4 linked regions of the Coturnix japonica genome follow. The protein of the gene in region 4 interacts with the protein of the main gene of each other region in a pairwise test. Links are inferred from orthologs where the notes say so. Each region holds a gene or a part of one and is shown on either strand. Other genes may lie near its edges.

What was found.
Region 1: the proteins of CYTH4 (region 4) and FOS interact in a two-hybrid assay, tested with the Homo sapiens proteins (2 studies listed by BioGRID and IntAct). The two-hybrid records come from large-scale screens. The link is inferred for Coturnix japonica from reciprocal best matches to the Homo sapiens genes CYTH4 and FOS.
Region 2: the proteins of CYTH4 (region 4) and CNKSR1 interact in binary tests that used the Homo sapiens proteins (3 or more experiments, as listed by UniProt). The two-hybrid records come from large-scale screens. The link is inferred for Coturnix japonica from reciprocal best matches to the Homo sapiens genes CYTH4 and CNKSR1.
Region 3: the proteins of CYTH4 (region 4) and IPCEF1 interact in binary tests that used the Homo sapiens proteins (3 or more experiments, as listed by UniProt). The link is inferred for Coturnix japonica from reciprocal best matches to the Homo sapiens genes CYTH4 and IPCEF1.

The regions. Positions count from the first base shown.
Region 1 is NC_029520.1:34,665,247-34,672,695, reverse strand, and holds FOS (proto-oncogene c-Fos), read right to left. Parts: upstream 4,172-7,449; 5' UTR 4,011-4,171; coding exon 3,870-4,010; intron 3,439-3,869; coding exon 3,190-3,438; intron 3,073-3,189; coding exon 2,965-3,072; intron 2,854-2,964; coding exon 2,248-2,853; 3' UTR 1,487-2,247; downstream 1-1,486. UniProt on the Homo sapiens protein: Nuclear phosphoprotein which forms a tight but non-covalently linked complex with the JUN/AP-1 transcription factor. In the heterodimer, FOS and JUN/AP-1 basic regions each seems to interact with symmetrical DNA half sites.
Region 2 is NC_029538.1:258,786-266,444, reverse strand, and holds the start of CNKSR1 (connector enhancer of kinase suppressor of ras 1), read left to right. Parts: upstream 1-2,458; 5' UTR 2,459-2,518; coding exon 2,519-2,570; intron 2,571-2,885; coding exon 2,886-3,043; intron 3,044-3,687; coding exon 3,688-3,878; intron 3,879-3,956; coding exon 3,957-4,041; intron 4,042-4,047; exon of another isoform or gene 4,048-4,061; coding exon of another isoform or gene 4,062-4,136; intron 4,137-4,211; coding exon 4,212-4,604; intron 4,605-4,680; coding exon 4,681-4,740; intron 4,741-5,107; coding exon 5,108-5,176; intron 5,177-5,369; coding exon 5,370-5,489; intron 5,490-5,603; coding exon 5,604-5,683; intron 5,684-6,008; coding exon 6,009-6,121; intron 6,122-6,197; coding exon 6,198-6,343; intron 6,344-6,498; coding exon 6,499-6,529; intron 6,530-6,621; coding exon 6,622-6,794; intron 6,795-6,874; coding exon 6,875-6,948; intron 6,949-7,050; coding exon 7,051-7,122; intron 7,123-7,203; coding exon 7,204-7,277; intron 7,278-7,432; coding exon 7,433-7,497; intron 7,498-7,571; coding exon 7,572-7,659. Other genes in the region: ZNF593 (zinc finger protein 593), read left to right, coding at 1-74. UniProt on the Homo sapiens protein: May function as an adapter protein or regulator of Ras signaling pathways.
Region 3 is NC_029518.1:45,231,148-45,238,649, forward strand, and holds the start of IPCEF1 (interactor protein for cytohesin exchange factors 1), read right to left. Parts: upstream 4,996-7,502; 5' UTR 4,819-4,995; intron 4,715-4,818; exon of another isoform or gene 4,474-4,714; intron 2,365-4,473; exon of another isoform or gene 1,527-2,364; intron 1,151-1,526; exon of another isoform or gene 1,095-1,150; intron 1-1,094. UniProt on the Homo sapiens protein: Enhances the promotion of guanine-nucleotide exchange by PSCD2 on ARF6 in a concentration-dependent manner.
Region 4 is NC_029516.1:46,896,984-46,903,989, reverse strand, and holds part of CYTH4 (cytohesin-4), read left to right. Parts: intron 1-2,922; coding exon 2,923-3,041; intron 3,042-3,419; coding exon 3,420-3,500; intron 3,501-4,146; coding exon 4,147-4,259; intron 4,260-4,836; coding exon 4,837-4,985; intron 4,986-6,412; coding exon 6,413-6,524; intron 6,525-7,006. UniProt on the Homo sapiens protein: Promotes guanine-nucleotide exchange on ARF1 and ARF5. Promotes the activation of ARF factors through replacement of GDP with GTP.

The sequences.
Region 1 (7,449 bases), on a different chromosome or scaffold from region 4:
TCCTGACTTCACCGAGTCACTTGTCTCTTGTAGCTACATCTACATGACTTCTGGGGTCAGTGCCACTGTGTGTTTGCTGCGCCTGGGTATTGTCCTTGTAAATTAGAGTGATGCTTCAAAAGTGGCTGCTGCTGAGCAGGTGGCATCTCAGTGGCAACCAGGGTCATTCCTTGTCAGCTGTCACTGCTGCCTCCAGCCGTGTGTTGAAAGACGGAAGCAGCACAAGTGATGCTCGCCTTTGCACAGCGCGGGTGGTGTTGAGCAAGCCCTGAGCAGTGCAATACACACTGCTGAGATGAGGTACATCCTGTGCGTGTTCTGGTTTGGAAGGGGTGAAGAAAGCAGAGCTTGCAGCCATAACCAGGAAGCCTCCAGTTGCACAAACCTAACCCTGAATGCTAGTGACCTCCAGAGTCCTGCGGAGATTTCCTGAGCATGCTGTCACGGGATCCCAGAATTGTAGGAGTGGGAAGGGGCATCTTGAGGATCACTGAGTTCAACTCCTCTGCTAAAGCAGGTTCCCTGCAGCAGGTCACACAGGCAGGCAGCCAGGCAGGTCTGGAATATCTCCAGAGAAAGATGTCAGGCACCTCTCTGGTCAGCCCATCCCCGTACTCTGTCACCCTCAAAGTAACAAAGGCTTTCCTCAAAGGAAAAAGCAATCCTCGGCCAGCTGCATGTGCCAGCACAGGTGGCATCTTTGCCATCATCTTGGAAATGACATTCTTGATCAAGAGATGAGCAGAAGAGCCTCCTGCACACAGAGACATTTGCCCACCAAAGGAACATTTTTTGCTGTGCAGGCAGCAGGAGGAACAGAGAGCAGCAACCTCTTCACATGAGCCAGAGAAGAGTCCAGGCTGCACAGACAAGACCCTGGTGGGGAGAGAGCTCATAAGCTGCTTGCCATAGCTTGCATTCATCCAAGGACCAAGAGAACCAATACAAAACACTGAGGAAATGTATTGTGCCATATGTTATTTTGTTCAAAGAGACGTGTGCAAACATCATGAGAAGACATTCAGTAGCTGCTCCTGCAGTAGCAAGCCCAGGACACACAAAGCAAGGCTGCAGTCCCACCCCTCCCTATGAAGGAAGAAATTGGGCTGCCAGCCACATGCAAGTGACAGAGCAGATCCCAGCACAGAGATGGCCCGGGCAGTTCAGGGGGGAGACCCCTCCTACGCCTCTGGTTTATCACAGAAAGGCCACGGCAGGCAACACACAGAGGTGCACCAGCCCACGGAAGCCGGAAGGTCAGGGGAGGGGTGGCCCCACCAGCGGGTGGGAAGGGCATAGGCACAGCCAGGGCTGACTAACACATCAGGGCAATGACAGATCTGCACTTAATGGTTTTCCCACCCCAACGCACCCTACGCTTACGGCAGTCAGATTTCGGTAAAGCCCAACCCCAAGTAGAGTTCAGGGAGCCCCACTGGGGTCAGAGGGAGTAGCGCAAAAGGTAAAGTGAGGACAGCACCAGCACTCAACTTAAATGCTTTTATTGACAATGTCTCTGAACAATAATAAGCAAACAATGCTTAAGTTTCATCCAAATTCACTTTCCACATGTCAAAAAAGACCTCAAGGTAGAAAAAAATAAAATAAAAATATAAATATCTGAGAATCCATCTTAATAAATAAATTAAAAACACAATAAAAACGTTTTCATGGAAAACTTATGTCAGAACATTCAGACCACCTCAACAACGCATGATCAGTAAAGTTACAATGAACATCGATGTAGAACTACAGTACATGGATATAGCTATTCATCTACCTACTAGAAAATAAAATAGAGTCTCTTTCCCCCCCCACATAAGATGGGTCGTTGCTAAGAACACGATATTGCCAGGAACACAGTAGTTATTGTTAATCAGCTGCACTAGATACAAGTCGGAGATACCCAGCACCAGGTTAATTCCAATCATTTAAAACCAAGGGATTAATTAGTTAATGCTAGTGATACTAAGGAGGGGGGGAGTCACCAACCCAGCCATGTGGGACATGCTACAGACTACCAGCTCTCACAGATGGGCCGTTGGGGACAAGACAAACTCCATGCGGTTTGCTACATCTCTGGAGGAGGTATGGGCCCAGGCACTCCATCAGGCCCCGGGCCTCAGATGGATGGGGTGGGGGTGGCGGCGGCAGTGCCCTCCCCAGGCCCGGGGGGCGTGGTGAGTCCGTGGGGGTGCGTGGGCAGGGGAGGGGGCCCGGCAGGTCAGTCAGTGCGGGGCGAGCCCCTCACAAGGCCAGCAGGGTCGGGGAGCTGAGGGAGTCAGACGACGGCTCGTTGCTGCTGCTGCCCTTCCGGTGTGCGGCAGCACAGCTGGGGAAGGCGTCCGCCTCGGGGTAGGTGAAGACGAAGGTGGAGGTGTAGGTGCTGGGGCACGGGGTGCAGGTCACCACGGGGGTGCAGAGGGGCTCCAGCTCCCCGCTGCTCCCGGCGCCCAGCGGCTCCCAGTCCGACGCGTAGAAGGAGGAGGCTCCGGGCAGGTCCATGTCAGGCACGGAGCGGGAGGCCTCCCGCGGCCCCGTGGAGAAAAGCAGCTCGTCGAAGGGCTCGGCCTTCAGCTCCAGCCCGCTGCCGCTGGGCTCCTTGGGCGGCACGGCCGGCGGCGCCTCGGTCATTAGCGGCAGGGCGAAGGTCTCCTCGGCCGCGGCGGGGCTGGGTGCGCCCAGGTCCAGCGCGGTGGCGGCCGCCAGCTCCTCGGAGAAGCGCAGCTCCTCGGGCATCTTGCAGGCGGGCCGGTGCGCCGCCAGGATGAACTCCAGCTTCTCCTTCTCCTTCAGCAGGTTGGCGATCTCCGCCTGCAGAGCGGACTTCTCCTCCTCCAGCTGGTCGGTCTCCTGCGGAAGCACAGATCGGGCCGTCAGCCGGAGCCAACCTCACCCGCCCGCCCCCACCCGCGGGGTCCCGTCCCCGCCCCGCAGCCCCCGGGATCCCGGGGCGGCACTCACCGCCTGCAGCGTGTCGGTCAGCTCCCGCCGCCGGTTGCGGCACTTGGCCGCTGCCATCTTGTTCCTCTCCCGGCGGATCCTCCTCTTTTCCTCCTCCTCCGGGGACAGCTGCGGACACAGAGGGCGGTCAGCGCGTCCGTCAGACCCCCCGCCTTTCCCCGCGCCCCGGCCCCTCTCCCGGCCCCCCATTTCCACCCCCCTCCTCTTCCCCTTAGCCCCGCTCACCTGCTCGACTTTGCCCCTTCGTCCGATGCTTTGCCCGCGGCCGCCCGGCGCCTTCAGCACGGCGGGGCGGGAATAGGCGGCGGGGGGAGCGGGCGGCGGCACGCCGTAGGGGTGCCCGCGGTTCTGGGAGGGGGCGACCGAGGAGATGAGGGTGGGCTGCACCAGCCACTGCAGGTCGGGACTGGTGGAGATGGCCGTCACGGTGGGTACAAAGTTGGCGCTGGACACGGCCAGGTCGGTGCAGAAATCCTGCGGGACATAAAGTGGGGGGGGGGTTCGGTGAGCGGGGGGCTGCGGCCGACACTCCCCTCCGAGCCGCTCCCCGCCGCCCCCGGGGCCGCGCCGCCAGCGCCGCTCCGCACGAGAGCGGCCCGATATAAATATCTCTGACGTCCGCGCTGACGCAGGCGCCGCTCCGGAGTCTCCTCAATGAACTCGCGTTTTATCAATGAAGCCGCTTTACACACCCGCCGCAACGCGCAGCCCGGACCCCGGCTCCCCCCGCCCGCCCCGCGGCGGCGTCGCGGCCGCTCCCCACTCTGTCCCCGGCCCGGTTGAAGCCACCCGCCCCCCTCGGGTCCCGCATCGCCCCGACCCGGCCCGAGGCGCGCCCCCCGCACCCATCTCCCCCCAGCACCCCCAGAGCCCAGCCCCGCGGCGGCCGCGCAACGGCCCCTCACCTGCGAGTTGACGGGGGAACCCATGCTGGAAAAGGAGTCCGCCGGGGACGGGTAGTAGGTGAGGCTGTCCCCGGCCGGGGAAGCGCTGCTGCAGCGGGAGGAGGGCGCCTCGTACTCCCCGGCGAAGCCCTGGTACATCATGTCGGCTGTTTGCGTGGCCGTGCGGGGGCCTTGCGGTGCTATAGCGGAGCGCCTCGCGGCAGAACGCAAAGAGGGGCCGGCTGCGTCCCTGTATCCGCTCCGCGCCGCGCGTCTCTGTCTCCGCTGCCGGAGCTGCCTCTGCCGCTGGAGTATCGCTCGGCGCCAACCCTTTATATCCTGCTCCGCGTGAATCGCACACGTCACGCGGGACGCACCACGCCCGCTCGCGGGGGGGGCCGCTCTGCCCGCGTCCGCCTCGCCCCGCTCTCCCGGCCCCGCCGCCCGCCCCGCTCCGCCTCCAAGTGCGGGGAACGACGGCACCGCGGGGCGGAGGAGGCGCGGCGGGGCGAGGGGAGCGCGGCGGGACGGGCGGGAGGAGCCGCTCCGGGATAACCCCCCCCTCGCGGAGTGGTACGGCCGGTCTCGGGAACCCACTGACGCAGATATCCTTATATGGGATACATCCTGTGCGAGGGGGCGTGACTGACGGGAAGCGCTCCAGGCTGCGGCCAAGTGCGGCGCGGGACGGGACGGGACGCGGTGGGACGGGGCCGCCCCGACCCCCCCTCGCGGCGCTCCCCCGCGGCCGGCAGCCCCCGCCCCGAGCGGCCCGGCGGGGCTTCGTGCTATGGGAGCCGGCCGCGGACACGCGTGGGGTGCGGAGGGGCGCGGCGCCCTTCGTCCCCTTTGCCCCGCGGCGGGAGGGTGCTCAGCGCGGCGGGGACGCGTCCCCCCGGCGGGGTCACGCACACGGAGGGCCGGGAAGGAGTGCGGGGCGGCCCGGGGCAGGGCAGCTCTCGGGGAAGCCCCCCGGGCGTCGGGACGGGGGCACGGGCGGGGGGCGCGGGGGGAGCGGCGAGGGCGAGGCCCGTCCTTTCCTCCAGTTTGGGTTTTGTTTTGATCCCCGTCGCGGCGAAGCCCGGAGACACCCACCCACGGCGGGGATGTCGGCAGCCCTGGCTCGGGGCAGGCAGAGCCGGCGGCCAGACCGCAGCCTCGCCTCGCACGGGAGCCAAGAGATCGCGGCTATAGATAGTAACAGGGAAGCTGCAGCGGCAGCGTGTTTACAGCAACAAACAGAGCCCGCAGCGCAGTCTCCAAGCAGGAGCGTCACCCGTGCAGGCTGGGATCCTGCTGGCAGCCTCTCCCGCTCTTTGAGCTCACAGTCTAAATGCGGCTCCTGATGCCGCTGCCGCTGTTGCCGCGCGAACAACCTCCGTTCTTAGAGATCTGGGCCACGGGGGCGGGAGAACTGGGCCAGCTGCTATTTCTGCGCTGCCCGTCAGCGCCGAGGGGACAGCCAAGGACTGCCGCAGCGCACGGCTCCGCCGTTCCCGGCCGAGGGGCCCATGGGCCGGCGCTGCTCTCACCGGCTCCGGGCCTGCCAGGGCTGCTCCCTCCATGGGACCGGCCCGGACCCCCCGCCCCTCGCTCTGGCCGCAGCTCGGAGAGCCGCCCTCGGCGCTGCTGCCGGAGGGACGCGCCGCAAACAGGCGATGCCGTGACCCCAGCATCGCTGCCACGTCCCGGGCAGGAGCAGGGGCAACGCGCCACAAACCGCCCGGTGTCCCTCTGGCCAAACTGCACCCAGAAGGAAGTTTCTGGAAAGCAGGTGAAAGTGGAGTGAAAGCTCCACCGACAGCCCCGAATGTTTTTGGGTGCCCGTGCAAACAGCGTGTTGTTGCCATCTCTACCGGTGACCCAGGGCACCGTGTTTGTATCAAACGGAAAGTGCCCAGGTGCTGCTGTGCATCTCCAGCACGTGCCGCTGAGGCAAGGGAACAGAGAAACCGAAAACACATGACGTGGGTTTGTTATTTGCTCCAGACACGGGGTGCGCACCATGTCTCCACAGCTAGTGTGAAAAAAAACCAAGAGGAAGCAAGTGGTAGCACAGGGCTGCACGCAGGCGAGGCACGAGCCCTTTGCCCGGGTCATGGCCGTGGTTCTGCGTGGGCATCACATGCACCCAAAGGGGATCTGGCCCTGGGTACCCAGGGGAACACATCTGCCTGCCCCCCGGCAAGCTGCTTCCTGTGCCCTGGTCCCAACCACCGCACAGGAACTTGTGCCCACTTCCACACCCCACCCTAAGCAGGGCTGTGACAGCGTGGGCTTGGGAAGTCACGGCAGAGAAGCGCCCGGGATGTGTGGGACAGTGCAACCCGCACAGCCCACACCGCCTCCTGGGGCAGGTGGCAGCCGTGCCCACATCTGGCTGTTCACCAGGGGAAGGTTCATGTCGCAGTGCAGCCCATTGGCAGCCAGCCGACAGCTCCGACCCACCCCTGCCCACAGCACAAAGCATGGAGTGGTAACATGGCCTGTTCTGTGCTATAGGCAGCATGGAGGGAACCCTGGGCAGCAAAGCATGCCCGCACCATCAGACAATCCACACGACCACTGGAACGCCCACTGCAGTATGGACTTGATGGGCTGTAGTGTTGTATTGCCGGTGCCCTTGCTCACTGCATGTGCCACCAGCACAGCACTAGGAATCCCCTCTCCATCTGCCTGCCTTGGGCAGAGGCTGCAGTGCTCTGGAGTAGTTAGAATGAGATCGCAGTAATCGGAAGTCTAATGGGGCAGTGATGGGGCCTCCTACTCATTGGGCAGCCGAGCCGCAGTCGTGCTGGAGCTGTGGCCCCACCACCCAGCCTGGGAGCTGCCAGGAGGCTCCCACCTTTATTGCAATGCATACCCAAAGCAAATTATAAATAGTAATTAATAATCGCAGCAGCTAGGTGTGTGACAGGGACGTCCTGAAGAATAAACACTGTGAGTGGAGACATCCCGGCATCTTGTGGTCGCACAGCCCCATGCCATCAGCTGCCAATTACCGCAGACTGTGCCATTGATCTCTCCCACCTGGCCCCATTGCTCTGCCCGGCGCCTTTCCCTGCACTGTGCTGGCTGCAATGCTGGGCCCCCGAGCCTATTCCAAGTGCTGACAAGGCTGCACCTTGCTCACAGATGGTGAAGCTGAGTGGCACGTTGCCCATCACCACGCTGCCCTGTGCCCTGACAGCCCTTGGCTCAGCCCCTGGCAGCAGTGACCCCAGGAGCAGCATTTAATAGGCTGGAACATCTTAAGCACAAAGGTCCCTCGGCTCCTTGTGCTGCCTGCACAGAGCTGGCACAACGTGACCCCTTATCTCTGCGCCGTCTGGAAGGCGAAGGCGACAGGCGCGTCCCGCAGTTATCACCCCAGGGCACCGTTCCACCTGGAGAGGAGGGAAGAACACCTAGAACAAAGTGAGCAGACACCTGGGGAACTGCCTAGTATTTGGAAGTGAAGCCTCTGCAGTGAAAGCTCCTCTTCCCTGCAGGCCAAGAGGTCATGGTGCTTACACAGGGGGTGAGGAGGCTGGGTAGGGCCGGGGGCCCTTCCGTGTGCAGCTGGCACTGTGGCTCTGGAGGGAACTAGGACAAATGTGAA
Region 2 (7,659 bases), on a different chromosome or scaffold from region 4:
ACATCCCCCCAAAGAAGGTCCATGTGCAGACCCAGTCCCTGGATGAAGTCGTGGAGATGGAGGCATCCAGCTGAGTGTCCATGCACAGGCTCCCTTTGTCACTGTGCTGCTGAAAGGACTCTTTGTTCAGCTCTTTGCCAGGCGCTAATGAGAAGAAGCAGCCAGCGTGCTCCTGGGTGCCCTGTCTGCAACCCCATTCCTGGGGGCAAGCATGGGTTGCTCCATGCTGTGCAGTGTTGTGCTCACTTCTTTGCATTCAGAGAGGTATTAGGTGCCTCTGCTGGAGTTAGAGGTTGCATTGCCATTAAAATATATCAATGAAAACACCGGTGTTTGAGCTCTCTGGGGCAGAATGGCAAAGTCCCACTGTTCTTCCCTCATAATGGGGAGGAATCCCCCACCTGCTGGGGGTTATGCTTCTGAATGAAGTCTTCATCAAGCACTTGGGTTTACTGTAAGCAGGTCACAGTGGGACTGCTCTTTTGGGCCTTGAAGAGGACATGCTAGTGTTCCCCCCCAGCAGGTACACTTCTAGGCTTGTAGAAAATCAGTTTAGGTCTGGTAGAACTCTGCAAGTGAGGGACTGGAGCTGTGCATGCTGTGTGATATGGCCCTCCTCATTGCATCCCCCCACCTGCCTCTGCTGATCACACAGTGTTGTGTACCTGTGCTTCTGCTGGTTGCAATACTAGTACTGCTGTGTTCCTGCACTGAGCCACACATCAGGGGTTTTTCCGCCCTGCTGCTTAGCAGCGTGACAACAACACAGCTTTGTTCAGAAGGAAAGGATTTATTTCCATGCACACTGCCTGGATTTATTCCCCCCTGCCTTCAGAAATCAAAGCGACCAAGTCCAGCTGTCAGCATCCAACTCTCTGCTGGGGAGAGCAGCCCCACTCTCTGCTCAGGGTTAATGAGCATGGGGAAGGGGAAGGCTGTGGTTGCACTGGAAGAAGCACTGACTGTGCTTTTTATCCTTGGGCAGGAGGCAGCCTCATGTCCACACATATCAGAGGCTTTTCCTGGTCTCAGTGCTCTGTTACCTAATGCTGCACAGAGCTGACCTCCTTTCTGCCTCTAATAGGGGGGGGTGGATGTGGCACTCAGCTCTTCCATCTTCTGGTCTTGTGCCCAGTCCTCGGGCTTTGCTGGGGTGTGGGGCTGTGCTGGTGGCCCTGGGTGCTGCTTGCTGCATCCCTTCACGTTGTTGGGGGCTTGAGACAACTTTGTGTCCCATCCTGGTGGCATCCCAGCTCCCAAGACAGGGACAGGTGTATGTTCCCCAGCTCCAAGGCATGGATGGGCAGGATGGGGCAGTGGTGTAGGTTGTCTGGGGAGAGCCACCATCCCAAGGCCTAGATGGGGACCAGGAGACCATCCCCACAGCCCATCAGGGCTGTGGGGGGGCCTTGGGGGGCCCAGCCATCCTCCGGGTACTGTAGAGGGAGAGGCAGAGCCCAGCAGCTGCCAGCAGCAAAGCCATGGAGGGCAGCACCCGCTCCCTGGGCTCAGCCCCACGTCCTGCTGCCAGCTGCATCTGGAGGAGATAAAGATGACGGCAATGGCAGACCCCAGCCTCAGAACCCCAACAGGGGCGTTACATGGCCTGAGCACCCCCATTGCACCCAGCTGATGCCTGATATGTTATTGGGGTGACCCCAGCACCCTCACAGCCTGCTTGGGGGCATGGATAGGGCCGAGTGCAGCCCCAAGGCCCGCTGGCCACATGGACAGGATTGCTCTGCAGCCTGCAGGCCTTGCAGGCAGGGCCCTGGGCTCCCCGTGAGCCAGGATAGGGCTGAGCACAGCTCTGTGGCCTTCAGGCCGCGTGGGCAAGATCTCGGGGTCCCCCTGAGCCCCTTCCCAGCCCCACGAGCACCTTACCTGGAGCAGGCGGAAATAGCCCGGGGTCAGGCGGCGGGGACGGATGATCATGGTGCAGAGGGAGGCAGTAGGTCGGACCCACGGCCCCTCCACACACGGCTGGTGCGGCACGGCTGTCAGCAGCGATCAGCGCCCGCTGCTCCCCCAAGCGCACACGGTGCGGCGGGGGGGCATGGAGGCGTTTCAGGGGGGATACAGGGCGGGTTTGTGGCTTGGAAATGACATGGTTGGAAGGGAGGCAGCGCCTCGCCTCAACTTCCCTATTGCAAATAAATCGTGCTCAGGGGGGACTCCAAAATCCCGCATCAGTGTGGCTGCGTCAGTGCTGGGAGTTGTGCCAGGCCTCAGCTGTGGTGCAGGGGGAGTCACAGCTCAGGAGGTGGGAGTGGAGGATGGAGCTCCCTGCAGTGAATGCTGTCCCTGTGAGGGCCTTTGATGGCTGCAGGCCCCTGTCTGCTGCGTGAGTCACTTGGGTGCGTCGTGGTGCCTCACCCCACCGAGCTGTACTGGGAGGGAGGGAGGGAGGGAGGAGAGGAGGCAGGAAGCTGCGGTGAGCAGCACTCAGGTCCGCCAATGGGGCCGCCCTCACCTGGCGCAGGTGAGCAGCGACGAGGGCGGTTCCGGCCCTGCCGCCATGGAGCCTGTGGGTGCTTGGGGCCCTGCACAGACTGCGGCCTGGCTGCGAGGTGAGAGCCCTCTGCCCCAAGATCCCCCCCTGGGGGAAGACCTCAGCCCTCAGGTGGGAGGGTTGCGTCCCTGCTTTGGGGGCAATGCTGTGGTGACATTGGGAGCCCAATGTTCCCCAACCTTCACTCTTCCCAAAATCCTGAGGGATTTCAAAGGGAGAGCAGTGGGGGCTGTGAGCACGGTGCTGGCTGACACCTGGTGCCCTCATTGCATGAATGGAACCAGGTGTCACCTCCACCATCAGGTCACCCGCGCCAGGGGACAGCAGACGGGTGTCAGGGCCTCCCCCTCACCCAGTGCCTGGCTCTCAGCAGGGCTGGACACAACCGTGCAGGGGTATCTCTTTGAGGAGTGGGGTCTGGCAGGAACTGAGCTACTGAGGCTATCAGAAGGAGCTCTGGAGGCACTGGGAGTATGGCGTGTAGGACACCAGGAGCTGCTGCTGGAGGCCGTGGAGCAGCTCCGAGCTCTGGTGAGCAATGGTTCAATGGATGGTGGGGTCTGGGATGGATGGAGGGGGGACATAGAGACAGCTGGATGGAAGGAGAATGTCAGGATACTGTGGGCTGCAGGGAAAAGGAACATGGGAACACTCTGGGACTGACGGATTGAAGGGGAACATGGATACAGCTGGGCTGGGTGGGACATGGAGGGTTATGCAGAGCTGGATAGAGCAGGGGGACATGGGGATACCCTGGGCTGGTTTGGAGGTTGAGGAGGACAAAAGGGGATGCCTGAGTCTCATTAGAGTTGAGAGATGGGAACACTTCAACAGAAGTTGAAGGGAGACATGGAGATAGCATGGGCTGGATGGAATAGGATATTAGGTTACCCTGGCTGCATGAAGAGGGGGATATCTGGGACACTCTGCACTGCATGGGTGCTGAGGAGGTGATGTGAGGACACAATGGGCTGGATGGAGGAGGGATACAGGGATACTTGGACTAGATAGGACATGAGTAGTTTCCTAGGGCTGGATGGAGTAAGGAACAAGGGGATGCTCTGGGATAGATGGAGGTGGGGACAATGAGATTGCCCCAAGCTGTGGCAATGGGAAAGGCTGGGGCGGAATCCTGGCCACCCTTGGCCACTGTCCTGGCCACGTCCTCACTGCAGGACACAGAGCTGGGGAGCACCAGCCTGAGGACACTAACAGAGAGGCTATGGGAGCTGGCACAGCGCACTGAGACCACGGTACTGGAGGGGTCACCTGGAGGGGCCACCCTACCGCCACCCCCCATCACCCTGCTGGCCTGCGTCGTCGATCTGATTGGAGCTGCCAAGAGGCTCTTCTCCTGGCTCAACAGGTCTGGGGCAGGCAATGGTCAATTATGGGTGCTGTGAGCACATCGCCCTGGTGCTGAGCTCTCAAACCTCCGCTCCAGGTACCTCTTCTCCACCCTGAATGACTTTTCATCCACTCGGGACATCGTTCTGCTCTGTGCCCACCTGGTGGAGGTGCTGCAGATGGTGGGTGGCCACACAGCTACATGACCATGCTGATGGGCACAGCACAGCTAGTCAACCTCCCATCCCCTAAACCCTGGAGAAGGGGGAGAGATGGGGTGAGGGAGGAGGTGTTGGGGAGGGCTGGAATTCAAATGATCTGTTTCACTCACCCCTGCTCTTTTTCCTCCCAGGACTGCTCTACTGCAGAGCGGAACAGCCAGATTCTGTATATAGTGAGTGCTGGACAAAGAAGGGGCTGTGGACATGGGGGTCCCAGCAGTCCTGGACCCACCCCATATCTACATTTTTACCCACAGTGCCAGCACATCATAGGCATCTGCAAGAGCATCGTGGGCTGCAGTCCCCCAGCACTGCTGGACCGCAGGGCCATGCTGCAGCATGTGGAGCTGGCACTGCCCCTCACACCACGTGAGAGCCCTCCAGATTCCCCCAGCACCCCCACGCTGCCCCCTGAACTGTGGGGCAGCCCCCCACCATCCCCCAGCACCCCAGTGCTGCCTCCTGAGCCACCAGGGAGCCCTCCAGCATCCCCCAGCACCCCGATGCTACCCTTCAGTCCACTGGTGAGATACCCACTGCCCCAGTACCCCTCACCCTCCTTCATCCCTCCTCACTCACAACTTCCCCACTGCACTGCAGGGCCTGGAGATCACCTCCACCAGCTCCTGCATGCACTTTGTGTCCATGACCAGCTCAGAGGTAAGCTGGGGCCTGTTCCCTTCTTGTTTGTTACTGTCCTCTGATGCCACCTTGTCCCCCTTTTTACCCTTGGCTATTTGGAACACTGCAGCCTGTCGGGCTGGGTCCTGGGAGCTTCTTAGGCCTTGTACCACCCTCCTGTCGCCAGACTGCTGGATGGCTGCATGTGGCTGAGTCTGGGCAACTCATGCCATGAGTGGCTGCAGCTCATTCCACCATCCCCCACCCCTGGACCCTTGGGGCTGCCTGGCACCAGGGTCAGTCCCTGGGTTAATGGTTAACCCCACTCTCTCCGAGTCACTCTACCTTCAAGTCCTCCCAGCCCGGAAAGCTCCATAAAGTTCCCTGTTGCCTGTATCTGCCTCAGGCCCTGGCTGTGCACGGGGGTCGCATCCTGCCCGGGGATGAGATCGTGCAGGTCAATGAGCAAGTGGTGGTGAGTTGGGGACAGGGGCACATGGGGATGCTGGTTTACCTGGGAGGAATCCCAGTACAGCTGGAGCTGTGGGTTGCTTTCCTCTGGCTGGGAAGGATTTTGTGAATGCAAGAACGTGAAACAGAGAGGATGTGGGGACCAGGAGGGCACATGGGGCCAAGCTGTGACCCTACTCACCTGGTGCCCTTGGCAGGTGGGTTGGACACGCATCAACCTGGTGAAAAAGCTGCTGGAGAAGGCGAGTGGAGTGTCACTTGTGCTGAAGAAGGTGCCCCTCAGCCTGCCTGGCTGCCCCCTGCCCACCAGGCTGCAGGTGAGCATTCCCAGTGATCCCAGTGCCGGACTGGGCTGTGCTGGGAGACAGCCCTATGGGAGGTCATCCCAAAATGCGACAATGCAAGGTGAAGCACTGAGTCTCCATTCACAGGTGCCAGGTGCCCATCTGGATGGTGTGGATCTCCCCAAAAGCAGCAAGTGCCCGAGCAGCCCCTCGTCCCCTGCATCCAGGTGAGCCCCAACCTCGCGTCCCTTCGCCACAGTGCAGAGCCTTTGTGCGAGCAGCCCAGGCAGCTGCCAGGAGTCTTAAGCAACAATATAAACAAAGAGAAGTGCCTCTGTTTGTAATTAATTCACTTGGTAACATTTTAATGGGGAGGGAACTATATTTAGAAATGACCCTTCTCCTCGCCCGGAATGGAAAGAAGCACATCGAGCCGTTGGCTCCGTGGGCTGAGCTCACTGCTGCCGGGAGCTTTTCCGGGCGGGAGCAGTACTGGGAGCCCCACAGCCGGGCAGGGGGCACTGTGTGGCTCAGGGGACCCTTCTCCCCCAGCACCACTGCCGACGTGGACTCAGGGCCGGACCCCACCGCTGACAAGGACAAGCACAGCACAAGCCAGAACAGGGAGGACGTGGGTGAGCTCCAGCCAGCAGCACTCAGCCTCGGTATGGAGTAGGCTGAGGGGAAGGATTCATTTCTCCCCCAAGGACAGGACGCTGCAGCCTTGCTCACTGTTTACAGGTACTGGGGAGGACGCAGTGCAGGAGGCCAGCACCCCACCAGGCACCCCAAGCTCACTGTGTGCCTTCCAACCCTGCACTGCAGAGTGCAGCCCCACAGCAGCCCCCAGGGCACAAAGTGCAGAGCCCAGCCAGACCCCCAGGGAGGTGAGAACTGGTGGGAGCATGGAGCTTTGCGGGGTATTCATGGGGGACACGAGGATCGTGTTTAGGGGCAGCTTGCTGCTGAAGGGTGGGCGAGGTGGGGGTCCCACGAGGCTGTGGGTGCTGCATTGCTTCACATTGCATCTGTCCCCATCCAGGGCAGCCCTGAGACGGGACGCAGACCCAAAGGTGAGTGGGACGCCACTGTCCCCAGGCTGGGGTGAGGTGGGCTGGGGGCTCGTCCCCCTGCCCCGCTCCTGAAGCCCCCCAAAATGCTGCAGGAGTGGCGACCAGGCTGAGCCGCCGGCGGGTCTCATGCCGGGACCTGGGCCGAGTGGATTGCGATGGCTGGCTCCTGAAGAAGAAGGACCATGTGGGCTTCATGGCCCAGAAGTGGAAGCGCTGCTGGTTTGTGTTGAAGGGCCACACGCTCTACTGGTACAACCACCCCAACGTAAGTGAAGATGCCCTCGCACCCTGCCACCAGGCTCTGCTCCAAGGCGGGCAGTGGACGTGGCTGTGTGTCCCCCACAGGATGACAAGGCTGCAGGTCTCATCAATGTGGCCACTTACAACCTGGAGAGCACAAGGGAGCAGAAGAAGAAATAGTGAGTGGGCACTGTGGTGCTGGCAGGGACCCTGCAGAGCAGCGGGTGCTGTGACATGGGGGAGGCAGGACACGGACTCAGGACAGCTTGTGTTCCTTGCAGTGTCTTCCAGCTCTCCCATGATAAGTACAAGCCCTTTGTCTTTGCTGCAGAAACGCTGGCAGATTTGAGCATGTGAGTGATGTAGCAGCCTGTAGTGGTCCTGCTGCAGTGGGCTGGCTGTGACCCTCTGTCTGTCTGGCCTTTTTTCCCTAGGTGGGTCAGCCACCTGATTACAGCTAAGACAAAGCATGCACTGGCCCACCAGCCTGTCCCGCACAGGGAGGAAGGTAACATGGAGGAAGGAGATGGGGAACGGTTGGGAGAATTGGGAATTTTGCCCATGATATGGGGAAAGTGTGAGAAATGGACAGGAGGTGCATGGGGGGGGTGCTGCTGGGACTGCCCCAGGATCTCTGCTTCCATCCTCCCCCATGGCCTCCAGATTGCTACAGCGAGACAGAAGCTGAGGACCCTGATGACGAATCTCCCCGGCACGGCTGTGAATTGGTGAGTGGCCCTAAGGGACATCCCAGGGTGGGAAGGCAGTTCCTTATCTCATCTCCATCCCATCTCTCATCCAGCCAAATAAAAGGCTGCAGAATGCTCCAGAGAAAGGCCAGCTCTTCCAGACTGGTGGTGAATCCAGCAGCCCACAGAGCAGCCCTCAGC
Region 3 (7,502 bases), on a different chromosome or scaffold from region 4:
GATCTTCAGCAACAGCCAGTGCTGAATTACTCAACAAACACTCCAGCTCCTCCAGTCACAGATCATTCCCTGTCATAGATTAAAGGAGGTACTACAAAGAGCAAGGCCACTAAGATGATGCAGGGAGCAGAGCAACAATATGAGGAAAGGCTGAAAGGCCTTCTTAGCCTAAAGAGGAGGCTCAGGAGGTTCTTATGTACATATGCAAATACCTGAAAGGAAGGTGAAATGAAGACAGAGCCAGGCTCATTTCAGTACTTTCTAGTGCCAGGACAAAAGGTAATGAGCACAAACTGGAACACGGGACGTTCTCTCTGAGAAACAGGAAATGCTTCTATATTGCATGGGTGATAGAGCAACAGCAGAGGTTTCCCAGAGAGGCTGTGAAGTGTCCTCCCAGGGGATCTTCATAAACCACAGGGGGGCTGGACCAGATAGACCCAGAGGTCCCTTCCGACCTCAGCAAGTTTATGACCATTCTTGCTCTATCTCCAGACATGCAAACAGGGCCTGTCAGCTGCTGTGGACATTTCCTAGAAAAGGAAGAGCTCAACAAAGGTCCATGGACACTGGGAGGACAACCAATTAGCTCAGAAGTTTTCCTGTAGCCAAACTCTAGAACAGACCCTCACTCATCCATTGACTCTCACCACAGACTCAAACAAGGACTTGTTTGCAGTGAGGGCTTTATTATCTTAAATACTTACCATGTTTGAGATTTGTTTTAAGTTTTGACTGGAAAAATCAAACCATTTATGTGATTTTTTATCCAAATCTGTACACTAATTGGAAAAATAAGCAGGAATTTTAAGTCAAATTCACAGCTAACAAAACTAAACACAACTGTGTCCCATTCTTCGGTTCAGCCATTCTTGGAAGCCCATAATTTGACTTTCAGTCTGGTATTACAGTTTTAATCCACAATGACCATTTTTTTGATATTCATTCTGATGAGGGTTTCTTAAGAATATGAATGTATTGCTAAGACAGAAGGAATTGAAAAGAAAGATTTTTTTGTTAAAGGGTTAAATGGCGCCTGATAGTCTGCAATCTATCAAGGTAGGCAAACAAGGGGGGGGGGAAAGAAACTCCACCTTGTAAATAAGGCAATTGCAAATCCAGTTTCTACAATCTGGAACAGAGCCAGGACCTAAGAGAGAAGGATTGAGAGGAAAATAAGTTGTAAATTCCTCCAAGGTAAAGTTCCTATTTAAAATGCAAAGATACCAGTTTTAGGAAGGTCATGAAATCACAACGGGCTTTCTTTGAAGTTCAACTCTGAATGTCAATTTGACCCCCTTTTAAATGGGGAGCCAGACACAGCTGCACTCCAAGTGCAAGAAAGAGAACAGCAATGATTAACATGATGCTTTGCACTGAAAGTTGTTAGCCAATGGGACAGGGGAGGGAACCACAAAAAAACACTTTCAAGATTCTTTACTGGCATCATAATCTCAACGACTGAAGATTTATTGTACATTCTCAGTTTAAAGGGAAGGGGGAAAAATAAAGTAAGAGAAACATACCTCTCATACTGGCATAACGTTGCATCTTGTGTAACTCACATCAAGAGTTTGAGTTGAGACAGACTTTTTTCCTTCTTATGATGAGGGGACTTGCTGTGCTATCAGGGAAGCATGGCAACTGGTAGATCTATGCCTTGACTTTTCAACTATATGCTCTTCAAAAAGGTGTAGCAAGAGCTGACAAGTCCTGCAATTTCATCTCTGAGAACTCTTACTGAAGAGTAGTTTAAATCTGAGCAGGGTTAGAAATATATGGGTACACAAACGTATACCCACAAATATACACTTGTAAATGCATTCATATTGCTCAGCAATTTCCACTAAAACTATAAAGCCAGACTAGAAGGTTCACTTGATCTTTCCCATTTTACTGATAAATAAACCGTGGGTATTCTGACCAGTTGATGGTGAATGGAGACACTACACAGTGTTGACAAACCAAGAAGCAAACCGTTCCTTCTCTTGGTTTTTAATTGAAGGTTAGTTGAACTCTGGCACTCTCCGCTTTAAACAACTACTGGCAACAGAAACAAAAGACAGGGCATAATTTCATTAATACATTCCTTTAGTCCATCAAATATTCATCATTTGCATTGCCCAGATATATTGCTAGAGGTGATGAAGAGGCATGTACCAATAATAACACAGTGATGTTCATTCATTGTCGAGAAGAGGTAAGTCCTGCTTACCTCTAAGAAGAGTCCCGCTTTCCAAGGGAAGTAGAAGATACCATCATATTTAAAAACATTAAAGATCTGTCTCTAACTCTCCAAAGCTCTCTTTGCAGCAGAACAAAGCCTTGGTCCTAGCACTTCATTTCTTCTCACCTTTCACATAACTGTGTACAGATGTAAAAGTGACTGTTGAGTGTCAAATCTTGCCACGCTATCTCCTATGTAGCCAAAGGCCTCGTGTCAAGTGTTCCTACCACTTTCTGTTACTCATAGTCAGAAAGGTGACAGATCGTTCACAGAAAGTCTGTTCAAGAAAGATCTTGGCAGAAAAGTGGTGGTAAATCCTAGTACAAAACTACCATAGTACCATAGGTCATGACTCAAACCAGCCAGTAAAGCTGCCATGTTTCAGGCAGTTCATATCTGAGCATTCCCAGGACACTCTGAGTTGTAGTGCAGCTCAAGCAGAGAAAAGAAGATATAAGTATCTTGCTTATAGTTCTCAATGCATTTGAAAAACAAAGGTTATTAATTATTAGTTTTTAACTTAGTTTATTATTCTCTTACATTGCTACCTTGCTGCATATTAATACTCCCTAAAAAACTTAAAACTCAGCTCCCCTAATCAAAGGTTGTTCCCACTAATAAATTGCCTATTCCGTATTTTTATACAAATTATTTTACACAATATGAGTCATATTGAAATTGCTCTAATTTAAATACTTATGTTTATTTGCATGACTAAGCATTGTTTATCAGTAAACTTGGCACTTCGCATCTTCAAACATTTTAATTGCATATACATCAGTTATCTGAAAATGTACCCAGGAACTAATCTTGGAATCATATGCATACACTCATCTACTGCTTCCTGAAATAACTGATGCTTTCCCATGTGCACTGAATCACAGTCAAGGTAACAGTCACAGGCCTGAAGAAGCATTTCTTACTTATGGGAAAAAATGTATGGTCCAGAGAGGAGATAAAGATTACCAACTAGATTGATTTGTGCAGAACTTCCTCTGATTCAATTTTCTGGCTATATCCCCTTGTCCTATTTGCCATGCACTGCCAAAAGGAGTCTGGACATTTGCATTCTGAACCTTAGATGTTTATAGACATTGATCAGATACCCACTGAGTCTTCTTTTCTCATGGCTGAACAGACCCAGCATTTCCTCATAATAGAGGTACTCGAGGCAAAACTGGAAAGAGATTTTGAGGAATCATTAAGTCTGCCTCTCCCATCAGGTCAATTATACTTGGACTATTCCTGACAGAGGGCTACCTAACATGTTTTTTAATTGCAGCAAGTAACAGAGGCATCACAGCTTCCTTCAGATCTCTAATTCAGTGTTTAATTCTCTTAGTAAATAAATTTTTACTAACTTTCAGCCCCATGCTCCATTTAAGCCTATTACCTCTTGTCCTATGAAAATTAGCCCTATAGTTTCTATTTATTTACAGAAATCTTTATCACGTTTTTTCTTATAAGAACAAATCAGTCACTTAAGACTATTCAACACCAATTTATTCAATATTTTCTGAGGAGCCAACACTCCCTGAGCAAAGAGTCTTTAAAATGCCATTGCCCCTCCTTGTAAATTATCTGCTGTAGTAAGTACTCCATCTTCAGTGATGGGCACTGCTGGCCTAAAATGATGGTAACTAAAAGGAATGGAAATTCTCCATTAGTTTGGTTAATAAGAGACTTTCAGGAAGAACCTGCTGAAAACAAGAGCCCCAAATCTTTTCACTGATCTTTGCTTATAAGTACATACATATAGTGATATATATGTGTGTATATATGTGTGCATGTATGCATATATCGAGCCAACAAGTTATTTGAGCAAGTCACCTCTGCATTGCTTTTTCTATTCCAAACCCAGACACTTAACTTCTGCAACTTAGACCTTAATTTTTAATTTTCTTTTTTGTATGAACGTGCTTAGAAAATAATTAAATCATGGATCCAGCGTGCTGTGGACATTTACAGCTGTACAGTTCTGCTTGTTACAAAATGTGCACGATATAAATAAGTGAGAGTGTCAGAAAGGGGTAGAACATAAAAAGTCACAGCGTGCTCGCTTGCCACTATCAACAAAATATCCCAGAGAAAACTAAATGCATCCTATTAGCTGGAAAACTAAAGCTGCCTGATGTGTAGGAAGGACAGTATCTGTCTCCCCTAATCCCTACTACATTAAAAACAAAACAAACAAAAACTATTCACTCAATTATCACTCTGTTTGTCTCATTATTCTCTCTCATTACCTTTTTCTGTATTAAACAATCTACCACCAAGATTAGGTTGCTGAACACATAAAATTAAGGCTGCACAAGACAGAGGCTGGGTTTCCATTTCCTGGCCAGTGCCAAATCTCCTGACTGTTAGATGAGAACAGCAGACACAGAATCCACCCCATCTGAGGGATCTCCTCCTGCCTTTGCACGACTCCCACATCCTCCTCAGGAAGCACTGCTTGAAACATAACTTACACTAAGCAGATCACACCTGAAAAATGTATAAAACATCATTACTTTAAAACAAAACAACTTGTATAAATTGCTCATAATGTACATCGTTACTTCAATCCTCTGAATACAGTTTTAACTTACCACAAGTCAAGAGATCACTCGTAAAGTTTGCATATGTGAACCAAGAGGGCTGCCCGGGCACCTAGGACTACTTCCCCTCTTCCTTTTCTTACCACCCCCTCAAAACTGCCCCATGAATACAGGAAGAGAGATCACCAGCTGCCTGCTGAAGAAAACAGCCCCTGAATAGTATGCATCATTCAGATGATTTGGATGATTCAGTGTTTCCACATGAACTCTGCTGAAGATGCACACAAATGGCGCTTTGTGCATTTCTGAATCGCAAGCATAATTAATAGTCCAAGTACATATCAAAACAACTTCTATTTGAAGAATAACCTTCCATCTAAAATACAGCACTGTATCTGTTACAATACAAGAGTTCCAGTTCTCAGACCTATTAACAGCTAGATTCACTTGTGTTTACATACTCCAGCATCTCCAGCCTTTATATACCTATCTAAAAAATCGTTCTCAAAAGTTGCAGTGAGCAGGACAATGACAAGAGGATCTAGTGGCAAACTCATCATTTCGAAAGCCACCTGATGTGATGTGCATTGGTTTTAAGCTGGAAGGGCTGGGAAGGAACAGAAAGGCCAGATGTTGCTTTCTCAGATACCGCAACACAGTAAGCACCTGTTTTGTTCCTAGGCATTTCACAGACTTAACTGCAGCTACATTTTGAAGGTTCAAGATGCTCTCACTATTTAGTAACTCACAGGAGAATACCATTAAAAATTCCCAGATATAGGCTGAGAACAAATGAACACACATAAACAAAATGAATGTACTTAGTGTGGTGCTCAAGGATGAAGAAATAGTATCTGTTTTTGCTTCTCTAATTTCCCTTTCTCATTTATTCAGAAGTTCACTTGATTCCTCTCTGTCAACAAGATCCTACTTTTATTTCAGCCCTGTAGCCATAAATCAAGAACGGCCCTGTTAAACCAAACAGATCAGATTTGACACAAAAAAAAGAAGAATCAGACCTTGTGCTGACTTGTTCCTTCCCGATCTGCCCTGTTAACTTTCCAGGAGAAGTGCTTGTTTGTCCTAGAGAACAAAAGCAGCATGAGCATGTAGAACCAGCCCAAGGTGCTCTGCAGGAGACACACAGTTAGTTGTTGTCTGAATCCACATGCAGCACCCATGCCACCACAGACTACTGTGCTTCAGCAAAGATAGAAGGATTGAAGGTTGCAAGGTAGGTAGTAATAACAGAATGCCACCAGAAACCATGCATATATTTTTCCACCAATGGTTTGTGAGCCATACTTTTATTTTCATCACAACTGAATTTTGCTTCATCTTAGGATGCAGACATTATACATATGCAACCTGAAGAGCTTGTGTCAAACTTGTTAGGCTGGTGCAACTTGCATCCTACAGCTCCTATCCCGAACCAGTGCTGTCAGATTCATCCACCCTTGCCAAAACATTTCCCATCTTACCCAGCTACCCAAGCAGCAAGCACTGTGTGAGACCAGAGTGTCCCAAAATCTTCTGAAATTTGAAAATGTGCCAAATATTTCCCTAGAGACAGTGAAATCCACATTTGCAGGAGTGAAGCTGGGGAGACTTCACATGTCAGTCAGAAGAGCTAGTTCAGGATTTCTGAAACTCTGGTGGTGGTTTTTTTGTTCCCTGCCATTTCTTGTAGTATTTTTCATGGCAGCTTCCAACCATACTCCCTCCTTTGGTAAACCACTGGGGAAATGAATCATGATACTGAAATTTGAGACTCTCCCACATCCTGCTAGAAGATTCCCCCACACGCAGCCCATATTCATTGTGAGCACAACTGCAAACTTTATTCAGAAGCAACCCAAGCACTTTCCTGTGGCCAGATTCACTCACAAGAGTACCCCCTGGTGTTTGTGCCTCACCTTGCAACATCTTGCTGCTCATCCAACTCCAGCTTCCTTGTCTCCTCTCCTTCGACAAAGGACCTTCTGCCTAATGCTAGTTGAATTAATGCCCTCCTGTACAAAAAGCCAAAACCATAGGTTGTCAAATCTATTGCAGTTTATTGGGACCAATCACATCACCAAGGATCACACTGTCACAGTAGGACACCAGATGTATGACCCAGCCCATCATTCCATCTTCATGGAATCCCGGTATGCAGGGATGAGGGTTATGTGACTCCCGCCACATGGAAAAGCAGTAAGGGAGATGGAAGGAAATCCCCTACCTGACCACCTGCTAGTGAAAAATCAAACCCATTCCTGAACAAAGCTTCACAGAGCAGCTCCTGCATGACAGCAGGAGTGCACCACTGAGACCACCACTGCTTCTTCAAGGGTTAATGCCAAGACATGTTTTGACAGCATCCCATGCAAGCACTCCCCACTGGGAAATAATTAGATGGATTTGATCCTACATGTTTGCAACTCCTGTTTCTTCTGCAAACAAAAGCTTTCTAGACCTGTACTTTGGGAACTGAGCCAAGTCCATTCTCAGCTCCTGAGAGGGAGGAGAGAATCTACTGCTGCAGTTGGTAGGCTCCTGCTTACCGCTTCTTCTCTACATGCTGCCAAGGAAATCAATAGTCAGCGGGCTGGAAAAGGGAGAGGGCCCGTACAGCAGGTCCCCACCCATCTTCCCAACATGACTTGCAAATCCAGGGTTACAAAACTCAAGAGCTAGGAGAAAAAGCAGACCTTATTTGCTCTCCAGTGATAAAAGGCCAGTTTGTTTATAGT
Region 4 (7,006 bases):
CAGACCCTTCACAGCTCCACTGCCCTTCTCTGGACATGCTCCAGGGCCTCCATGTCTTTCTGGTAGTGAGGGGTCCCAACTGAACACAGCACTTGAGGTTCAGCCTCACTACACCCAGTCACCTCCCTGTTCCTGCTGGCTGCACTATTGCTGATACAAGCCAGGATCTCATTGGCTTTCTTGGCCACAGGGACATGCTGCTGGTTCATGTTTGACCATCTGTTGACTAATACCCCCAGATTGTTTTCCACCACTCATCTTTCCAGCCACCCTGCTACAGGCCTATAGAACTGCAGGGGGTTGTTGTGACCAAAATGCAAGACCTGGTACTTGGTCTTGTGGAAGCTCATACAGTTGGTCTCAGCTCATCAATCTAGCCTATCCAGATCCCTCTGAAGGGCCTTCCTACTCTCAAGCAGATCAACACTTCCACCCAACTCTGTGTCATCTGCAAATTTACTCAGGGTGCCCTCAATACTCTCATCCATTCTGTCAATAAAGACATTAAATAGGACAGGCCCCAATGCTCACCCTTAGGGAACACCACTACTGACAAATCACCAGCTGGATTTTACTTCATTCACTGCCACTCCCTGGGCCCAGCCATCCATCCAGTTTTTTACCCAGTGAAGAGTACACCTGTCTAAGCCATGAGCTGCCAGCCTCTCTAGGAGAATACTGTGGGAGGCTGAGTCAAAAGCTTCACCAAAGTCTAGGCAGAATACATCCACAGCCTTTCCCTCATCCTCTGGGTGGGTCACCTGGTCATGGAAGGAGATGAGGACCTGTTTTTCACAAACTCATGCTGTCTAGTCCCGATCTCCTGAGCATCCTGCATGCGCCATATGACTGTGCTCAAGATGATATGCTCCATGACTTTTCCCCATACCAAGGTCAGGCTGACAGGCCTGTAGTTCTCTGGATCCTCCTTCCAATCCCTCCTGTAGATGAGCATCACGCTGGCAAATCTCCAGATGTCTGAGACCTCCCCAGTTGATAAGGACTGCTTAATGGTGAAAAGCAGCTTGGCAATCCCCTCCTCCACCTCCCACAATACCAAGCTACCTTGTTGTTCTGGAAGTAGTTTTGGTTTTGCAAGTGCTGGTTAGTGATTGTGTATCTTCCACTTTCTGAGGCTCTTAGCAGTGAGATCTAGACTCCATAGCCTTCCGTCCTCAGCAGAAAGCTCTAAATCAGACTAAGTAGAAAATAAATGAGAAAGACAGTTTCCTCTTCCTTCCTCCTCACTGGTGGATCATTTTTCTTTAACTCCATAAAGAAAAACTGTCTGCACTGAACAGTTGTTCATTGTAAGCTAACTGCAGCTATCATCTTGGATGGCTGCTGGTCTGTGTGACAGCTTTACATGCCTCCTTGCTGAGACCCTCAAGTTGTCTTCTACACTGCATAGGAAATGCATGCAACATCCCTCTGCTGGTGGGAGCTGCCTTTGAGCACTGATAACAGGACATCCAGATCATGTGATAGCAGATTCTCTTTTTGTCTTTATGTCTGACCTTGGTTTGAGGCCCCAGAGGCATCTCTTTCTATGGCACTTTGCCATGCCATGCAGAAATGCCTGAACTAATCCTGACACCAAACCGTTTTAGCATTATTAGTTCAGTGCTGATCAGCCCGGTCCAACTGCTGTACTATGTTCCTATATTGATTTTAGTTTAGAACAGGCACACACTGATCTCTTTTTATTGTTTCTCTTTTGATACATAACTAGAGTCTGGTAGGTCTTGCAATGCAGGGAACTTTCATTGTCCCTGCTGAGTTTATGTTTCATCTACACAATACTGATGAAATGAGTTCCCATCTCCACATGCTCAGGGTAAGTTCCTGAGGCTAGAGGAGGTAAACACTAGAAATATGGCTGAACAAAATCTTCTGGGAGAAACATTCTAGTCTGGAAAATGGAGCTCCACCATCACTGCAATAATTTGCAAAATTAAATTGATCTAACTGAAATTTCATCTGGGGAAAAAGGAAGGAAAACAGTGTGGAGAAATCTCCCAAACATTTCAATTTCTTCTTTCGAAACTGATTTTTGTTTGGGACGTTTTAGAAATAGATTCTTATATATTGCAAGGCAAAGTGAATTGATTCTGTTGAAGTAGAACATTTTGATATATCTAAAACAATATTCATTCCTTTACTGTGTTTTGTGAGGAGAATTGCAGTGTGATCTGGAGAATTGCTGTGTTTTTAGATAGTGCTCTTAAGCTGAACAAAAGCTCAGATTTCAGTGACTTTGAAAATGATGAAATTCTCTCTCTAAAATAAAATGTTGGCTGTTTGCACAACCTGATTCAGACTCTCTGTCTTCCTTAAAGATCACACACTCCATTCTTATTGGCTTGGGAGCGTGGAGTTTACCAGGTTGCTGACTTCTCTGTTCAGTGGCCTATGAAAAACTTTAAGAAAAAGATATAGTCTCAGGCCTACAATTCTGCCTGAATACCCTTTTTGATACCATCTTCTTATTTATTTCCAAACAGTTTTTTGGCTTGTTTTTTTTCCCTTTAAGTTTCTTTGGTGAAACCTGACTTTCAGGAACAGAACTCTAAGATATTTTGACCAAGAATGTTAAAATAAACCCTTTTGACTTAACTTTAAATATACGTGGCTGTTTGAACTTTAGAGCTACGCTACCCTTTCCTGTTTACTTGAGTTTCCAGTTCAGTGAAACATTCATCCAAGTTTAGGAATGAACTGAGCATGATACCAGCCCACCACAGTAGATAAAAATGGTGGGAATAAGGAGAATGTGGCTGTGGTCTCCCATAGAGAGACTGAGGAGTAACAGTAGACAATATCAGCAAAGCCAATGAAGTCTGACATTAGAATATTAAAGTTCTAATTTCACACCAAGACAAAGATCTGTCTTACTTTGCTGTCTTGCTTGCCCTCCTCCAGGGGATCCAGTACCTGATTGAGCAGCAGTTATTGTCCTCAGACCTGCAGGAGATCGCCAAATTCCTCCACAAGGGTGAAGGCTTGAACAAGACAGCCATCGGAGATTACCTGGGTGGGAGGTAAGAAACCCAAATGAGATAAGGAGGTCCTTTGGATGCCCTGTTCTGCCTAATCCCTCTCAGATGCCATTTTAGATAACCCCTGGCAGATGCTGATGCTGAACATAACCTCACCCTACAGTGGGCTGGGTGGGCAGTGTACACTGGGAGGTGTCCTTTGGAGTGTGGCTGAGGCTGGCTGCATGGGCTACCTGTCTTTCCATCTATACCAGAGTCAGTCTTCTCAGACTAGAGTGGTGCCCGTACATCTTGGTTTCTTGCTGGTTGAGGGGAAAGGGAGTCTGGGAGGGAGCAAGATGCCTGTGATCACACCAAGGAGCATCCAAACAGAGCAGGGACAAAGCTGTCTAATGACCTTTTCCCTCTCTCCTCTCCCAGAGACTCCAAAAACATTCAGATTCTCCAAGCGTTTGTGGCATGTCACCAGTTTGCCAACCTCAACCTGGTACAAGCACTAAGGTGGGTGTTCAAGAAGTAACAAATGGAGCAGGAACCTGTCCAGCCACTGGGTCTTACCACCCAGAGAGGTCATGAAAGCCCCAGTGGGACGAGATTGGGCTTCTCAAGTCTGTGCTGTGCGTATTGGCTCTGGTCTATGAATTGCAAACATACTTTTCCTTGGTGGACCTCCTTCATGGCCTTCTGAATGGACTAGCCATGTTCAGAGAAGATGGGGATAGTGAGGTGGGTGGGTTGTTCTGATTTCAGTGGGTGGTGGGGGCAGGGTAAGTTATTTTTTGTACTAGGAAATACATTAGCTCACAGTGCCCATTATGTCTGTAATGAAGTGACTCTGTCCTAGAGCATCTCATTCTCTTTAGGCAGGTCTTCTGGCAGGGCTTTCTCTCTTGAGGTCCCTGATACCTTGCAGAATGCTCGGTAGGGAAGAAGAGCCATGATTTACAGGATGCTTAGCTCTGCTTCTTCTTTTTAGAATGTGCGAGAGAAATGTTTAGAGAAAGGAGAAGATCTCCTGCTTGATGTGCTGCACTATTTTCATGCTGTGATGAGATAACATCCATTATTTCCATAGTGTCTCATGAGCTGAGGGAAAGGATTCCTTGTACACAAACTGACTAACTCTCTGGCATGCTCTTCCTGCTAGACAGTTCCTATGGAGCTTCCGGCTGCCTGGGGAAGCACAGAAAATTGACCGCATGATGGAGGCCTTTGCCAACTGGTACTGCAAGTGTAACCCAGGAGTATTCCAGTCCACAGGTATTTATAGGGAGGAGAAGGCCTATAAAACAAAGATCCACTGTGTGTTAGAGGGAGGAGCCTTCTTTTCCCAATCACAGTGCATAGAAAGCATCCTCTGAAAGTATGGATGCTGTCTTTCATGTTCCCTTACCTGAAGTTAAAGATACTTCAGTAGTACCTTTTCAGTACTTTTCAGTAGGCTGATGGTCTTCTGTCCTGTTTCTTCTACTGTGCTCCAGCCCATCCCAACAGGGAGTAGGCTTGAGAAGTGCTCCAGCCCCATGTGAAACATGTCTCATTGCTGCATGGGTACCACTTACAGGCACGGGTCTGTAGGAACTTTCCTTGCTAGCAGATCTGTTACCTGACCAGATCTGCCCAAATTGCCTATTTGGGAATTGTCTCCATCACAGGAGATCAACTCTCCCCAAGCCCCATCTACCACTCTTACACCTGGTAGAGGGGAAATCTCCTCCTAAATCTGAAAGGTTGAAGCTGCTCACAAGCAACTAGAAGCCTAGTCACCTGTTAGCATGTGGATTATCTGCTCTGTAAGAAAAATGCCATCAGTCCTGGTTTCCTTTCTCATTGACAGATACTTGTTATATACTCTCCTTCTCTATTATCATGCTTAACACCAGCCTGCACAACCCTAATGTGAAAGACAAACCCCCCTTTGAAAGGTTTGTGTCCATCAACCGAGGCATCAATGATGGAGCAGACCTGCCAGAAGAACTCTTAAAGGTAAGAAAGGTTTTGATCTCCTATTCTATCATCAGTCCCTATTTTCTCTCTGGGTCAGGCTTCACTGTGAATGTAAGGTCCATTGATCTCAGCGTAGTATAATACTGTTGACCTTCTGCCCTGTAAGGGGGAGAGCTGCTCGAGGAAAAAGGTATAAAAAAGGAAGCTGGAAAACATGAAAAATGCTTTGGAGAGTGACTGCAGACATGCTTGTTGGTGAGGACGTGTAGCAAGAGAGACATTCAGAGAATAGCAGTGAACAGTGGTAGCCTTCTACACAGGGACAAGTACAGAATCCTGCACCTGGGGAGGAATAACCACATGCATCAGTACAGGTCAGAGGCTGACCTGCTGGAAAGGAGCTCAAGGAGAAGGACCTGGGCATCCTGGTGGACAGCAGGTTGGCCACGAGCTTCTGCCCTTGTGGCCCAGAAAGCCAATGGTGCATTACAAAGAGCATAGCCAGCAGGTAGAGGGAAGTGATCGTCCACCTCTCCTCTGCCCTGCTGAGGCCACATCTGGAGTACTGTGTCCAGTTCTGGACTCCCCAGTTCAAGAAAGACAGGGAATTTCTAGAGAGTGCCCAGTGGAGGACCACCAAGATGATGAGAAGCCTAGAGCATCACCCTCATGAGGAAAGGCTAAGAGCCCTGGGACTGTTCTATCTGGGGAAGAGAGGGCTGAGGATGAATATCATCACTGTTTATAAATATCTAATGGGTGGGAATTAAGTGGATGGGGCCAGGCTTTTTTGAATAGTGGAACACAGGAAGTTCCATACAAACATGAGAAGAAGCTTTTTTACTTTGAGGGTGACACAGCACTGAAATAATCTGCCCAGAGAGTTTGTGGAGTCTCCTTCTCTGAAGATATTCAAGACTTGGCTGGACACTTTCTTGTGTAACCTACTGTAGGGAAGCTGCTTTAGCAGATAGTTGGACTGGGTGTTTCCCAGAGGTCCCTTCCAACCCCTATCATTTTGTGATTGTTATTATTATTGGACTGTTTAGTTATTGGAAGGTGCACCACCAACCCAGAGCCTAAATGGGGCTGCAGTCACTGTCAGCCCCCTCCTACCCCCTAACATCCTTAGTACTACCTTGTCATACTCAGCTGTCCCCGTATGACATACTGTGGTCAGTCACTGATGCCAGTCCTGATGAATTACATGGTTTCCAAAATGGATTTCCTTTATTTTTGACTCAGGGTGCAGAAAGAAGCTTGCAGTCACTCTTGAAGCATTTTGAGGTGTACACTGAGGGCTGTTGAGGGCTAACGCTCACTGTTACCTCCTTTCCCATTCATTCACCTGCCCCTGTGTAGAGTGATGTACCAGATGGACCTGAAATGGTTGTGTACAACTTCGTCAGAAATATGTCTTTCTTTGTATTTTCTCTTTCTCTCCTTGTTCCAATGCTCTGGGGCAGAATCTGTTTGACAGCATAAAGAACGAGCCGTTCTCTATACCAGAAGATGATGGGAATGATCTCACACATACTTTCTTCAACCCTAACCGTGAGGGCTGGCTCCTGAAACTAGGTCAGTAGGAGCCTTCCTCTAACTCCCCGGGATTCCTCACCTCCATGACTCCCTCCCATCACAAATTTCCTCCAGAGACCCACTCAGGCGTCCAAAACTCATCCAGGCACCAGCATTTCCATTGCCCCTCCCTCCTCTCTGCTGTGGTGGGCTGAGGCTGACACCTGCTGTTGAAACCAGCTGCATGCTCTCTCCTCTCCTCCCGGTCCCGTTCCTGCAGGGTGTCTCTGCTCAAAAAAAAAAAAAAAAAGAAAAAATAATAATAATAAAAAAATGATTGTATATATATATGTATCACTCCCCTCTCCCCATCCCTATCCTCATCATAGCAACATCCCTCAGCATCCGCTATATGGTGGTCAGAACCACCGGTTCATTGGTGGTAATGATGACCATGGTTTTCTCCTGGGGGCTGATGGCTACAGGGAGAGCGTGCATGTGTGTGTGTAGATTAGAGCACGGTTGGTGGAAGGATAGTTAAG